3 linked regions of the Drosophila melanogaster genome follow. The protein of the gene in region 3 interacts with the protein of the main gene of each other region in a pairwise test. Each region holds a gene or a part of one and is shown on either strand. Other genes may lie near its edges.

Evidence for each region.
Region 1: the proteins of sc (region 3) and E(spl)m7-HLH interact in a two-hybrid assay, tested with the Drosophila melanogaster proteins (3 studies listed by BioGRID).
Region 2: the proteins of sc (region 3) and E(spl)m3-HLH interact in a two-hybrid assay, tested with the Drosophila melanogaster proteins (2 studies listed by BioGRID).

Annotation. Positions count from the first base shown.
Region 1 is NT_033777.3:26,034,851-26,039,684, forward strand, and holds E(spl)m7-HLH (enhancer of split m7, helix-loop-helix), read left to right. Parts: upstream 1-2,187; 5' UTR 2,188-2,312; coding exon 2,313-2,873; 3' UTR 2,874-3,169; downstream 3,170-4,834. UniProt on the Drosophila melanogaster protein: Participates in the control of cell fate choice by uncommitted neuroectodermal cells in the embryo. Transcriptional repressor. Binds DNA on N-box motifs: 5'-CACNAG-3'.
Region 2 is NT_033777.3:26,019,644-26,024,792, forward strand, and holds E(spl)m3-HLH (enhancer of split m3, helix-loop-helix), read left to right. Parts: upstream 1-2,179; 5' UTR 2,180-2,376; coding exon 2,377-3,051; 3' UTR 3,052-3,484; downstream 3,485-5,149. Other genes in the region: E(spl)m4-BFM (enhancer of split m4, bearded family member), read right to left, coding at 4,392-4,850.
Region 3 is NC_004354.4:393,392-399,060, forward strand, and holds sc (scute), read left to right. Parts: upstream 1-2,668; 5' UTR 2,669-2,785; coding exon 2,786-3,823; 3' UTR 3,824-4,106; downstream 4,107-5,669. UniProt on the Drosophila melanogaster protein: AS-C proteins are involved in the determination of the neuronal precursors in the peripheral nervous system and the central nervous system. Also involved in sex determination and dosage compensation.

The sequences.
Region 1 (4,834 bases), on a different chromosome or scaffold from region 3:
GGAAAAAACAACAACAAAAGCCCGGAGCTGGCCATGTGCAGCTCGAGAAATTTTCTCACAGTCGCCAGAAAAATTGTAACGGCCCGTTGTTCAGCACACTCTCAGCACGCAGTGCACTGCACACACACACTTCCTGCCGCAGCCAGCGTTCCTCAAACCGGCCACGTATATTGTTTATATAGTTAACGAATGCGATACATTTAATCTTTAGTGTGTGTCAATTTGCCGTACAGTCATTTAGTTTGCATGTCCCTCGTCGATCCATCGAACAATCATCCCTTTTTCTGGGACCTGGGTCCCACGATGATGATGTCCCGACGTGAGCAGGAATACCATACGCGTATATGTATGCCACTTAGCGATGGACGATCCCAACCGATGCCATCCGAAACGAAACCCAGGGCCCAAGTGTTCAACAGAAGCTACAATTCAGCATTCATAATTGACAAGAGCAGGAGCGAGGGAGAGGGCGATATGTGTAGGGCCCACGATGGACAAGAAAAAATTAAATAAAATAAAGGGCAGGTGGTAGTTTTTTCAGCACTACCCGTGACTCGCACTAGCAGCTCGGTCAGATTTACAGTGGTTCGAATGGAACGAAAATTGGTTGAAAACAATTTAGGGTCTTGTCACAATCTTTAGATGCTTTTAGCTACAAACTACAAAATGGTTTCTTTTTTTAGAAATTTTTTAAACATCATAACCTGACAAGAACATCTTTTCCAAATATTTCTTTATTTCACCCATCTGGGTACAGTAATCCCATACATAGATATTCTGTAAACTGCAACCTTCACGAACCTTAATGTTTTTCAAGACTCAGGTTCCCACTCACCGTCGCAGCTAACAAAATTATCCGTAGCAAGTAGAAAACACCTTTCACAAAAGTCCCTATACTCGGACTATATATGCCTAGAAAAACCTCTAGGAACAAATGTACCTTTCCAACATAGCAGATAGTTTAGTAAAAATTCTTTACAAGTAGAAACACATCGAGAAATCCATAAACACTTACTCTAAAACCTGCAAGTCGTAAAATTGCACGCATGTTCCGTTTGGTAAAACCCCAAAAATCACATTCGAAAACTCACATTCCCACGACTTTGAATAGAGGTTCTCAAATTAACCGTAGCAAGTTGAGAACAGGCAACAAAAAATCCGTAAGATACTGATTTCCAAACCTGCGAGTCCCAAAATTGCACACATCTTCGCCTTGGAAAACCCCATTTCCGACATCCCAAAACTCGCATTCCCACGATCCCTACAGAAATTGCTAAAACTTTGTCTAGCAAGTAGATAACAGTATGCGTAAATTCCGTAAACCTTAAATTTCACGTAGTTGGAAAAGCCTTGAAGAATTCATTCAAGCAAGGCACCCTCAAAATTCCCGCATGTGTTTCATCGGTTTGGCCCACTGTGCCATGTGCATAAGGGCTCGGAACTCGGAGCTCGGACTCGGGACTCGCACACGGGCTACCTCCGATTATAACTTATAACACCAACGAGCGAGAAAAATCTTGTGGGAAACTTGAGGGCAAAGTGTTTCCCACGATTCGAATGTCAGTGGAAAGGAAAACAGAGAAGCAGCATGTGCAACCACCGTCGCACCACCACCACTGCACTATCGCATCTTCATCCCCTGCCGAGACTCACTTACACCGAACACCAGTGGCCATAGCAATAGTACTGAGAACATATTTAAAGTTCTAGATAATGTTTATATTTTCAAAATCACTACTATTAAGAAGTGTGCTAATTTAATTTTTTAGGTGTAAACGTATAACATTATGTTAATTTCTTTTTGTTTAATAAAACGACATTTAAGTGCTTTAAGGGAAACCCATTTGAAGTAATTGTTAAAAACGTAACGTACTTCTTAGGTATATAACAACAAATTTGTATATTCGCTCGAAGAACTATAGCTGCTTTAAACACATTTCTCATACTATTTTTACCGCAGGTGTGTTCCAAACTTGTTTGTGGAGAAAAACCCACCACCGAAAATGCAGGCGAGAGGATCGTGTCCCAGTGACTGAGTAAAAGTAGTTTGCTCCGCAGGTGGTGGTTCTTCGGAGGCTCCGCAGCTCTCTCTTCTCTCTTTCTCCGAGCAGCGTGCGCTGAGCACGAGACGCTCTCGCGGCGGCACGTGCAGCTATAAAAGCAGCGGTAACCGGAGACGAATGCAACATTTCGAACGCAATCGTCGTGCAGTCAACATCTCAGGATAACCTCCTCCGAAAGATCGAAGAAGTTCTTCAACAAGTCGTTCTTCCATTTACCTAAACGCAACAAATAAACAAAACAAACACACAATGGCCACCAAATACGAGATGTCGAAAACCTATCAGTACCGCAAGGTGATGAAGCCCTTGCTGGAGCGGAAGCGTCGTGCCAGGATCAACAAGTGCCTGGACGAGCTCAAGGATCTGATGGCCGAGTGCGTTGCTCAGACTGGCGATGCCAAATTCGAGAAGGCCGACATCCTGGAAGTCACCGTGCAGCATCTCCGCAAGCTGAAAGAGTCTAAGAAGCATGTTCCGGCCAATCCCGAACAGAGTTTCCGTGCTGGATACATCCGGGCAGCCAACGAAGTGTCCCGCGCCCTGGCCTCCCTTCCCCGAGTGGATGTGGCTTTTGGAACCACACTGATGACCCATCTGGGCATGCGTCTCAACCAACTGGAGCAGCCCATGGAACAACCGCAAGCCGTCAACACTCCACTCAGTATCGTCTGTGGATCCAGCTCTAGCTCCAGCACCTACTCCAGTGCCAGCTCCTGCTCCTCCATCAGTCCCGTTTCCAGTGGATATGCCAGCGACAACGAGTCTCTGCTCCAGATCAGCAGCCCCGGACAGGTGTGGCGTCCCTGGTAAACAAAGATCTACTTGGAAGGACTGAATTCCCGACGGGCAATCACGCAATTGGAACCGCAGCTTTAGAAAAAATGCTTTACAATGATCCTCATTTATTTGTTACGTTACCAAGTTTTAGGTTTCTAAGTTAAGTCTGTGATAGGGCACGCTTTATTAACTTTTGTCTTAAATCAATCGAGCAGAAGTCTGTTTTTTACTCTACATATATACAAATGTTTACCAGCTAAGAGATCTCAAGAACACAATATGAAAAGATACAAAATGAAAAACTTAAATACAAATCAAAATATGAAATGAAATTATACAAGAATCTTATTATTTGGGGAATCTATTTTACAGCACAATCCAATAGGGGATATTGAACTTCAGTATTTGTCTTTAAATTCCAATAGGAAGAAGATTCCATTGAAAATATTTAATGTTGGTATGCGCGAACTTTAAGGTCCAATATAATAAAACGATCGTGTGCACTAGCTTATTTAGGACACGTGTAAAAAAATGGACTTCCCATAAATTATGTTCATTATCTTAAAGCCCATCATTATCCTAAACGAGCTATATTAATAACAAGTTTCAATAACAGTTAAACATAATAGCAAAACATGCTCCACTAATGTGCACTTAGTTGTCAAGCATGCATTTAATAATAAAAAGGAATTTAATTTCATATTTTTAATGGTCGTTATTTTTCATTTGCACGATGTGTTTACTTATATTCTATTTCAGTAACTATTTTGTCAACAGACTATGAAATGAAAGTATTTGACATCCTTTAGCACAATACAATACATTGTTATAAACCTTAAATGCGGCATTATAATTTTTCCACCAATAAAAGGTCAATAAGAATGGTCAAGAAACATACAAATGAGTTTCAGCACGCGTCTCGATTACTTATCACACATTATACCCTATTATATTTAATCCCTTAAAATTTATTCTTTTACAATTAATCAATTAAATTACATCACATATTGAGGGTTGCAATAGCATTACGTAAAATCATAGGTAAGTGTATTCAATTCCAAATTCATACCACATTATTAACCTCTGACACCCAAAATACTATAAGAAGTGAGAGTATCCCTCCCCATTACAATAATCAATGACGTTGTTTTCCACCCATAAAATGTCAATATTAAGAACCCTCAAGATTTGTAAGGGAGATATACAAATCCATCTCAATTATTAAGTGAGGAAGTAGCATACCCTAGGCGGTTGCAAGGGAGGGACACAAATCCCATAGGTAGGCATCGATGTCAGAGGTCGATTAGTTTCCTAATAGAAACAGAGTTTATAAAAGTTAACTCGAAAGTGAAATTTACTCAATGGAATTCTAATACACCATACTTGCATGCGAAACCCAAGATTCCGAAACCAAAAGCACTTAATATTAGCTAATTAAAAATGGGTTTAGAAAGATACGCCAGACATTATAAGTTCCTATTAACTAAATTCAAAGAAAACTTTTGTATCCTATGATTACTTTAACAATCTTATTAGGATGAGCCACACATTGAACAAACCACATTTACCATAAGACAAGATATTTGAAAAGTGCACATCAATTAACCGGTGAAAAATTACTAATTACCAATTAGGGGGTTGCAGGAAGTTAACTATGTGCATCCCATAGGTAGACATTCCGGCACAAGGCCCACCTCACCTCAGCCTGGGCATTGAGTACTCAACCTCGGCCACGAGTGTGGCACGCGGGGCACACTTTCTGCGCCCGTTTGACCCACGTCCCCCTGCCAACCACCCAAAAACCCGAGATCAGACAGCCCAAACGATGGAACGATCGAACAACCAAGGCGACCCGGCACGAAGCCAATATGCCACATCCACTAATTGTGTCCAATAAACACTCGTCGACGGGGCACTGTGGGAACGGAAAGAGGAGATCTCAGAGTTCGCAGTTCGGAGGTCGGAGCAGGAGTAGGGGCTTATACAATCATCGT
Region 2 (5,149 bases), on a different chromosome or scaffold from region 3:
AATTAGTGTGCATTGAGGTTAGTCGAAAATGGTTTTGCGGTCTCTCTATTTCTGTCCATCGGTGTCTGCGTGATTATTTTGCATATTCGCATTACTCATACGCCACGTGTGCCGGTCGAGTTGAAAGTTGAGGCATCTTGAAAGGCGAACCATCGAAATGCCTTGAGAGTCTTAATTGTTATGGCTCCAGTCAGCAGAAAGGCAAGCCAAGTCAAGCCAAACGGCTAACGGAAGTCATGGCCAGAAGACAAACAAACAGAGCGATTCTGCAGCATCATGGGAAATGCTTAGCCAGGCAAAAAGCACGGCCACAAAAAATAACTCCGAGGCGTCCAACCACAAGTGTCATATTGCTGCGATGGTGATAAAGTCGGCCCAACAGCAGCTGTGAAAAAAGGGGCATAAAAAACAGGCAACATTTTATACACTCAGTGCTGACCAGTAGCCCTGAGATCAGCGAATTAAAAGAAATATGTGGAGGACGGGCGAAAAACGAATCTTAGAACGACAACCGGATGTTAAAGTTTATTACGAAAGGCGACAAATGCCGAAGGGTTGGTAATCGGACTATGCAAAAAGAGTTTTATTTCTTTCATTTTGGAACCCCCAATGCGCCGAGATAGCGAAACTGTTACACTTAATCGATACGCTTCAACGAAAAGTCAACCCACAGCCCCAGCCATAGTGGTGGTTGTGCACTGTGAGAAATATTTGAAAACTTAAAAAAAAAAACTGATTACATTTGAATTCGGTTATAAGTAAAATATCAAAATATATATATTTTCCATTCTTCCGAAATGGGGTGATCTATATTTATTGGTAATTAACATAGTTGCTGTTATTGAAATTGTTTCAAATCTACTTTAAACTCCCAAAAAGACCGCACATTTTGTCCACGTGCAGTTGTCGCAGTCATCATCATCAGCCAAGCATGCGACATAATTGCGCGAGTTAAGGCTGCCCCTCCACCCAGCCATCCCTCACCAGTTCGCCCACTGCCCCCCATTGGCGGCTGACAGTCAACCCGCTTGAAATCAACCAGCAGCAACAGCAACAACATTTCAGCAATCCATCGGATCGCATCACAATCCAGCCATCCGTCCAACGTGTGGGAAACACACGACAAATCTGTTTCCCACGGTCTCGTAAAGTAGGCACACCGCACACACACACAAACACCCATCCCCATCCACTGAGCCATGGGACCCACAATCACATAGGCTACTGCCTCGTAGGCTCCCTCGTGTCTCATTCTCATTGTTGGTGTGAGCGGTACGGAGCAGCGGACTTCGACAGCGAATGGGAGCCGAGCACTGTCATCATTGACAATAAGTATGACATGGATGAGGGGGGATGGAGGGCGGGGTGGAGCGGCCTGAGAGACACGCGCAGTCGCCGAGAATGAGATCCAATCCGAAAGCCGACTGTCGACTGCCGACTGCTCAGTTTCCCTCTGGCCATGCAATCAATTGAAGACGACGCGCGCCAGAGCACCAAAGCTGCAGATACAGATACATTTGTATCTGCGGCGGGGCACGCTCTCGCTCGCTCCCATTGCATGCACCTTGGTTCGAAGTCGACTAGTTTCGGTTAATAATACTAATTTTGGACTAATAGTATTACTTTCAATAAGCAGATTTTACGAAAATAATTGCAGTTTTATTAACTTTGTAAGTGATTAATATTTTTTGAAATTGCTTTCTTTCAGGTCTTAAAATTTAGCAAATTTTTAAATCGTCCTTTTGGTTGAACAATTATGTTGCATACTTTTGAGAGTCATATAAAAAATAGTTGTAGCAAAATATAAAGAACACAAATTTAACACTATTGGAAATGAAAAATATTGATATTATATTCGCATTGCTAAAATGGATTATTTCTTATTTTTTATAATAAGCATAATTAAGAAGGTAAAGAGTTCCATGGTGATGGTCCCACTGTACCCCCTGCAGACGGTACAACCCCCATCATCGATGGCCTACAGTAGCCTCTCTTTGTGCCGCTGCCGAGCGCCGCTACCGATCCGCGACCGAAAAGAACCGAAGTGGAACTCGATCTTGGGCCCGAGTGCCTGGGAGCGTGTGTGAGTGATCATGCGGGAGCTTTGTGGCCGGGAGAGCCTGATCCCCGTTTGCCGGGAGAGCGTGGCTGTCATATAAAAGTAGGGCTGGGAACTAGTTTGCCACTCATTTCGTAAAAGTGCCGCCACTCGAACGCACCGCAATCGGTGGAACGCGCAACGCACGCGCAACAAACTCGTCAAAAAGTAACCAATCTATGAAACCAACCAAAATCAGTAGTGATAATGTGCAGTTGAGAGACTAAATACAAAAGAACAATCCTTAAAATACACAACATAAAACAACCCAATCGATCATGGTCATGGAGATGTCCAAGACGTATCAGTACCGCAAGGTGATGAAGCCGCTGCTGGAGCGCAAACGGCGAGCCAGGATCAACAAGTGTCTGGACGATCTCAAGGATCTGATGGTGGAGTGCCTGCAGCAGGAGGGCGAGCACGTCACCCGGCTGGAGAAGGCGGATATCCTGGAGTTGACCGTGGATCACATGAGGAAACTCAAGCAGCGGGGTGGTCTTTCGCTGCAGGGAGTAGTGGCTGGTGTTGGCAGCCCACCCACCTCAACCAGTACCGCCCACGTGGAGTCCTTTCGCTCCGGCTATGTGCATGCTGCCGATCAGATTACCCAGGTCCTGCTGCAGACACAGCAAACCGATGAGATTGGGCGCAAGATAATGAAATTCCTATCGACGCGACTAATTGAGCTGCAGACGCAGTTGCTCCAGCAGCAGCAGCAACAGCAACAACACCAGCAGCAGCAAATACCGCAATCATCAGGCCGCCTAGCCTTCCCGCTGCTGGGAGGATATGGACCGGCAGCCGCCGCTGCCGCCATTAGTTACAGCTCCTTCCTGACCAGCAAGGACGAACTGATCGATGTGACATCCGTCGATGGCAATGCGTTATCCGAGACGGCGTCGGTTAGCTCGCAGGAGTCCGGCGCCTCTGAGCCCGTCTGGAGGCCCTGGTAATTGGGCGTGCCCAATATGGATCTTATCCCTAATATTATAATCGCAACCCAAAAAAATGGCTATTGACCGTTCTGCAACAAGATCCGTTGTCTTCCAAAGTAAATCATATCAACCTAAGTTAATTGAGGTCTAATCGATTTCTGAATGGTTTTGAAATACTTTTAGTTTTAGTTCCGATAATGGTAATTTGTAAATTAATTGTTTAATTTCAACTGTGATATAACTAAAGTACGTTGATCAATCAATCAGTGAATATATATTCGAGTGCGCTATTTTCCTACTCCAAAAGTTCCCTAAGTTTAATATCTCGTTGCGCTCTCTTTATTGTTTAGCATATATTAAGCTTTAAATAATTTATAAATGTTAATTTATGATTAGTTGAGAAAGAATAATCAAAAATACACTACCCAAATAAAATAAATGATTTAAATTGAAAACACAATGTTTTTCTTTTGCGGGATTTCAAAATTTTATAAAATATTTATTTTGTTATATTAATAAATATAAACAAACTGAACGATATTATGCAAACCTAACGGAATACTGTTCATTCTTGTCCCAGTCCGCCAATGTTGTTTACTGCCCCAATAAATTACCTTTAATTGAACATCACCTCAAATGTATGCAACACATTTTCGACTCGACCCTGATTCATTCCCATAAGCAGATCATCTAATTGGAGCCTGTTCTTACCACCAATCTGATCGGCAATCAACAGATCCTCTCTACCTGCCCGATAACTGGTTGGCATTGTGGTCCAAATCAACAGGCCAAACAACAACCGTCAATATGCACTACCTGCTGGCAGGTAAATTGATCAACAATAAGACCAAAAAAGGTTCAGGATCGAATCGGATTAGGGTCCGCTCGTTTTTCAAATGAGTCATGCCAATTAAGAAAGGACTTCGCTCCCCATTTATTTTCTGTGTTGATTTGTAAACGGAAAATTGTTGGAACAATAAGGGGGAAACAAAGAATTTAGATTCCTATTCAATTATTTTTTTTTTGGGTGAAATGTAACACAATTTTTGGTAAAGATTACCAATTTCCAAATGTGTGATTTAAGAGAAGGCCCATTTCATACGATTTATCAATGATTAAAAGTAAAAAAAACAGTGGTTGATTTCATTTAAATTGTATATATATTTTGATTTTTTTGTGTTTGTTAAGTAAAATGTATCACAATTTTTGTAAAGCTCTTCAGTTGAGTTGATCGGCTTGCGTGTTAATTTTTGTGGAATGGTTTCAAAAATTAACGGAAGACGTTGATTAAAGCTGGAGATCCAATGGAAGACATAGTTGCCGGATGATGGATGCAGGTTGCAGGACGCTGATATTTTTTAGGCCTGAACCCAACGATCCTGGGGGATAGCGATGGCGTTGGAGGTGCTGCAGTAGAGGGGCTCGACGAGGTCGTTGTCGGCTGGCAAATCGGAGACGGCGGTCCAGAAGAATGTGCCGTGAGCGGTGCGGACGAAGTGAACGGGAACGGTGGGCAGTTGCTCGAAGTCGTAGTCCTCAATTTCGCAGGACTGGGAGAGACGCTCGTTGGCCTCGTTCTCGCAGGACTCCAGAGAGGCGCAGATGGAGGCGGATTCCAGATCGGCGTTGCGGCTGTTTTCCATGGATTCCAGAGACTCCAAAGAGTTGGCCTTGAGGGCGTTCTTGAGGTTCTGCTCCTCCTCGACGCGCTGTTGCTGCTTGAAGATCTTCTGCAGCAGTTTCTTCACGCTGTAGGACAGCTTCTTGTTCGATTTGATGGTCATGGTGTTGTTGGTGTTGATCTTGTTCTGGCACATGATGATGTGTTTTGGAATTTTGTGTTTAGCTGCTGTGTAGCTGAGATGTGTACTGTACGAAGCGTTGAGCTCGAATGATGCCTGATCCTCCGAGCCAGGGTCCTTTTATACTCGCCAGGACGTGGAGAAACCCGAAGCCGAGCAGGTCACAAAACACCGAGTGTGGGAAACTACAAGGATACGTGTCCCGAAAAATCCTATACACAGTGCGGATACATGGCGAGGCAACAACAAAAACGGCAGGTGTGTTTTTCGAAAAGGGACTGCATCGGCATTAACCTGCGTGCGTCGGAGTGTGA
Region 3 (5,669 bases):
AAAATGACTGAGCTAAATAAAGAGGGAGAGATACATCTACGCTTCATCAACAGTAAAACGCAAAAATTAAACCACGAGCGTCACTTAGATTTATATTAAAACTTTTGATAATAAAAATGGTCAAAAACATTTACTTAAAATATAAATATTTAAATAACAGAAATTTCACTATATACTCTTGTAATGCACTTATAATAATTTTATATACAACCTATTAAATAATATTTTTACGTGTAGAAATGAACGCGACAACAGAAATATCTATATGCAAGTATACATATACTTGTATCCCTCACTCTTTTTCACTTTTTCTTTTTTCGCCGATCTCCTGCTCTCTTCTGCAGGTCCTGGCTACGAAAACTCGTTTAAATTAAGATTCAACATTCATTTTTGCATTTCAAGTTTCGTTGGAAAAACGCACGCGTCGCTCCACCGATTAGGATATATATATATATATATATATATACCCATATATACCCATATAATGGGTAGGTTATATATCCTGCCTCGTTCCATCCTGCTCCTACCCAATTATCGCAAGGGCCCCGCTCTTCATCTCGCTTACACTTTTGAGTCCTTTCCATTTCCCGTTTTCGCGGTCCGGAACTATGCTTCATATCAAAGTAATTACGCATTTAAATCCTCCAAGCGTTGCGTCTGGAAAAAGGATATAAACAAGGTAGTCCGAAAAAAATGTTTACTGGTTGTCGGGACAACATCGAAAGGTTACTTAACTTGCTTTCTGATGGTTTTCCTGAAGAACAAGTCTTTCGAAATAATAAAAAAAACATTATTAAGTTTCCGAAAATATATAAAAGACTTCCACAAAGATAGAGTTAAATTAACAATATTATATACTAAAGGAAATGAAGCATTTATGAAATATAAAATTTAAATCATTCAAAATTAAAAGATTCCTACACTAGGTACTATAATTTTGAAGGTAATATCCAATGCTTGTTCAAGGTATGAGTGGCATTTACATGCAAGCGGTGACCGGAATTGGACCTATGATTAATCAATTGTACCGAACACGCGATTATACCAACCTTGCTTATGACTCTCCGCTTCAAGGAAAAAAGGATCGCGTATATGCATTATATGCATTCCACTTCAGTTAAATGTCCGCATACACCATAGATCACACAGTTCACTGAGTGGAGTTTCTAATGACGACTTCAACCCTATTCTAGGCATGTCACCGGCATTTCTCCCAACCATTTATTAAAATGCTTCAATGGAATTTTGGAAAATGCGAAAATTTAAATAGAACATTGTGCTGCCAAAATTTCTGCAACACTCAAGAACAATGATAGTGTTAATGATGGTAAAATAATGGAAACCAACTACCGATCCCTCCGTTACAATGCAAAAACTAAAGAGTGGAGACTCCAAGCGAAGTTCAGCATGCAAAAAAGGTATTGGAAATGGTGAAAGGATTTTATTTATAGGAACAACACAGAGAAGCGCCGTTTGCTGGTCATGGTTGAAAAGGTTTTTTTGTTATCAGGATTTCGGTTTTCGCTTTGGTTTTGGTTTCGGATTCGGTTTTTGATTTTGGGATCCGGGGATCTAAAATTTGCCAAATAGAAGTGAAGAAGTGCTATTGCTGATGATTTGGCAAAAGAAAAATGCTGGCAGAAGCAAACGAGGGTAACGAGTTGAGGACAATAAAAATATTACACCTGGTCGCCGATTTGGCATCTTTTCACTCGCTCATCGATTGATGATCGTGACAAAATGAACCGATTTTTGTGAACAGAGCGGAAGTTACAATTTACAGTCGCCGTTTAGCACGACACAGTGGCCAATGGCAAGTTACAACAGTCTGAAATAATCAATTTATTATTTCAAAGAAGATGTATGAAACTTCATGTATGTCTAGTATTTCTTTACCTTAGACCGCATTATGTAATAGAACAAATAACAAGTATACACCGTTAAAAGTCAAATGTGTGAACATTTAATCAAACCCAGAACTAAATTATTCCCAAACAAATTAATATATTTAAAGCAACATCCCAGTAGTTCTAGAAAAAACACAAGTAGCCACAAACAAAGAACCGCAGTTTTCACTGCAAACTTCCTTCTAGAACTTGTGTCACATCCCTTTGATTTACTTAACAAAAAATTGTGATCCTTTTGATAATTTAATTGGAGAAATAAGTGAAATTGTTTGAACACCTTTAGGGAGCGTACTCCGAATGTCTAATAAGGAGGATCCCAGGATCTTCTGTCGATCCCTTGGATCCGTCCGGCGCTAATGAATAGAAGCGTGCGTGAGCTGCACATAAAATTGGCGATCGCGACTTTTGCTAAGTTAATTAACACAGAAATCAAATTGCTGGCGTGCCGTAGCAAAAAGAGCCCTCACTCAGATACCTTGATCGTTTTTCGATATTTCGAGTTGATATTTTGAGTTTAAAATTTGAGTGTTTCTTTTGGACTGTCGAGTGAGAACAGTTTTCCTGTGGGATACTCGAGTACCTGAGACAGAGAAAGAGAGAGAGACTACCTGTGGCTCACTCACTTCGAGTTCCCTACCTGTGCAGGTAGCTCTTGCCGTCACTCTCTCTCTCTCTTTCTCTCCGATTCTCTCGCCCGTTTCTCTGCCTGAGTGTTGTGCAGAGAGTTGCATAAAGGGTACATAACGCGAGGGTTTAGGACGAAGGGACTCATTCTTGTGTAAGGTGTCAAACGATCAAGTTCAAGTATTGTACTCTGTTCATTTATTTTTTTCTGTTGATCGTTATCCGGAAAGTTAAAGAAAGCTCCGAGTGTGTTAATGAAAAATAATAATAATACAACGAAAAGCACTACCATGTCATCGAGTGTGCTGTCCACCAACGAAACGTTTCCAACGACCATCAATTCGGCAACGAAGATCTTTCGTTATCAGCACATAATGCCAGCCCCTAGTCCATTAATTCCCGGTGGCAATCAAAATCAACCCGCTGGCACAATGCCAATTAAGACTCGCAAGTATACACCAAGGGGTATGGCACTGACCAGATGCTCTGAATCAGTATCATCTCTATCGCCTGGTTCCTCGCCGGCTCCATATAATGTAGACCAATCCCAGTCGGTCCAAAGGCGCAATGCTAGAGAACGAAATCGTGTAAAGCAGGTGAACAACAGCTTCGCCAGGTTGCGGCAACATATACCACAATCCATAATCACGGATTTGACAAAGGGTGGTGGTCGAGGACCTCACAAAAAGATCTCCAAAGTAGACACACTGCGCATTGCCGTCGAGTACATCCGGAGGCTTCAGGATCTGGTGGATGACCTAAATGGGGGCAGCAATATTGGTGCCAACAATGCAGTCACCCAGCTTCAACTTTGTTTGGATGAGTCCAGCAGTCACAGTTCGAGCAGCAGTACTTGCAGTTCCTCAGGGCATAATACCTACTATCAAAACACGATCTCTGTCAGTCCTCTGCAACAACAGCAGCAGCTACAGAGGCAGCAGTTCAATCACCAACCGCTGACAGCGCTCTCATTAAATACCAACTTGGTGGGCACATCCGTACCAGGTGGAGATGCAGGATGCGTATCCACCAGCAAAAACCAGCAAACCTGCCACTCGCCAACATCATCATTCAACTCCAGCATGTCCTTTGATTCAGGCACCTACGAAGGAGTTCCCCAACAAATATCCACCCACCTGGATCGTCTGGATCATCTGGACAACGAATTACACACGCACTCCCAACTTCAGCTAAAATTTGAACCGTACGAACATTTTCAATTAGACGAGGAGGACTGCACCCCCGACGACGAGGAGATTTTGGACTACATCTCTCTATGGCAGGAGCAGTGACTTAATCCCCAAAATTTACCACCACGCCCTATTTTCTTCTAGTCAATGTTGAGTTGAACCAAGTGCCTCAAATTGTAAATAACACTAATACAAAAACAACATACCCCCAATTTTTTTTTCTTACTTTAAGCTATTTTTTTACATTGTTAAGAACCACGAGACCAGTTTCAAATTTATATATTTATGAAATAACTATAGCATGGAAACGAAAACATATTTTTTTGCTAATACAATTTTATGTTAATTAGTTTTTGGTGGAAAAATAAAATGAAAAAATTAAACGAAAAATCATATTTAAGTTCTTTTCTCAAAGGGGATCCATCTATTGATCAGGTTTGTAAAACATTCGGGTACTACTTGCATTGCCTTGCAGTGCCGATGGGACCATGTGCAGCCGTTATGTACAATTAAGGTTGCTTTGCATTGGTTTTACAAAATCACTCTTATATCCAAAAATCATTAATACGAATTACAGATAACGCAAAACATAGATCAGTATTTGGTTTTAGACCAGTAGTTTCCTATTTCTTCAGGTAGTTTCTAAGAATGTCAAATTATCGCAGGTAAGACGATGACACCTGTGACACGTGCCACGAGGTTACTAGTTTAAAAGGTTACTAGTTTTACAATTACGACTTTGAAATTCAGATCAGATATTGAACTTAAAAAAGGAAAAGTGTCGAAAAAGCAATTTACAATTTATTCAATATAAGAGGAGTTCGTATTTATGTATACATTACTACTTAAATATATAAAGTGAGGTAGTTTTAACCCGATCAACACTTTTAAGACTTTTTCTTTTGAATTTGCTCAGCTTAACTATAGTTCCTAGTATTCCCTATAATGTACGGCCTTACAAAAAAGTATTTTACCCACTTTTTACACTTCTGAAAAAGTTAAATGCAAACACCTTACCCCAAACAATAACTAAGTTCTTCACTCCCACGCACCGTTGAGATGTCAGTCCGTTGGAATAAACCTCTTCCACTGGCCAGACAATAAATCACGTTGCATTAGAAAAACAAACGCATGGGAGAATGCGACTATAGACTATATTTTGACACATTAAAGGGCATCACAGACAAAGGACCTCATTGTCCTTAGGATCGCTGGATGCTCCAAAGGAAGTGATAAGGGATAGGGGATCTTTTCTTTCAATGTCAACGCTGACACTTGACAACTCAATGCAATTGTTTCGAATCATGAAAATGGGTTCTGGAATACCATTATTTTCTTTTGCGAGACTCTGTAGGCAAGGCTTAACGTTCAGCTCCGGAAGAACTTTCACCTTTCCTAAAGAATCTAAAGAAAGGCAACCTTTTTTTCAGCTGCGTTTTTTATTTTATTTGGTTCTGATTTAAAAGCGTAGTTTAATAGATTTCTCGGCGCCCAGGCCAGCAACATTGTGGTACAAAAAACCAGCCGCCTGCATTAATCAGACCCCAGATATTTGACCAAATTATAGGCTCGCCCAAAGTTTCGAGGACTAAGGACGGCAGATTGATGGCTAAAAAAGCAGTTTTAAGTCGCAGCTAAGCTCATAATTCAGCTCTTTACGAAGTTGTTACTTGAAGCATTTATTCTTACACCGCAGGCGCGATGCAAACGGCCTGATAGCCAACAGAAAAAACGAAGAATGGCAAACAAGAAAACTCCAAAATAAAAAATACAAAGATGGATTTTGGAATATAGAATATACTCTTATACTCTTTTCAAACATAGGTTTATTCGGTTAATATCCTGTAACTTATCTGAAGCATTAATCTAATCAATGCAAATGCTATATGTGGTCTAATGCATAAGTTTTATTTTTATTAAAACTCAATTATTTTGTACAATCAAATTG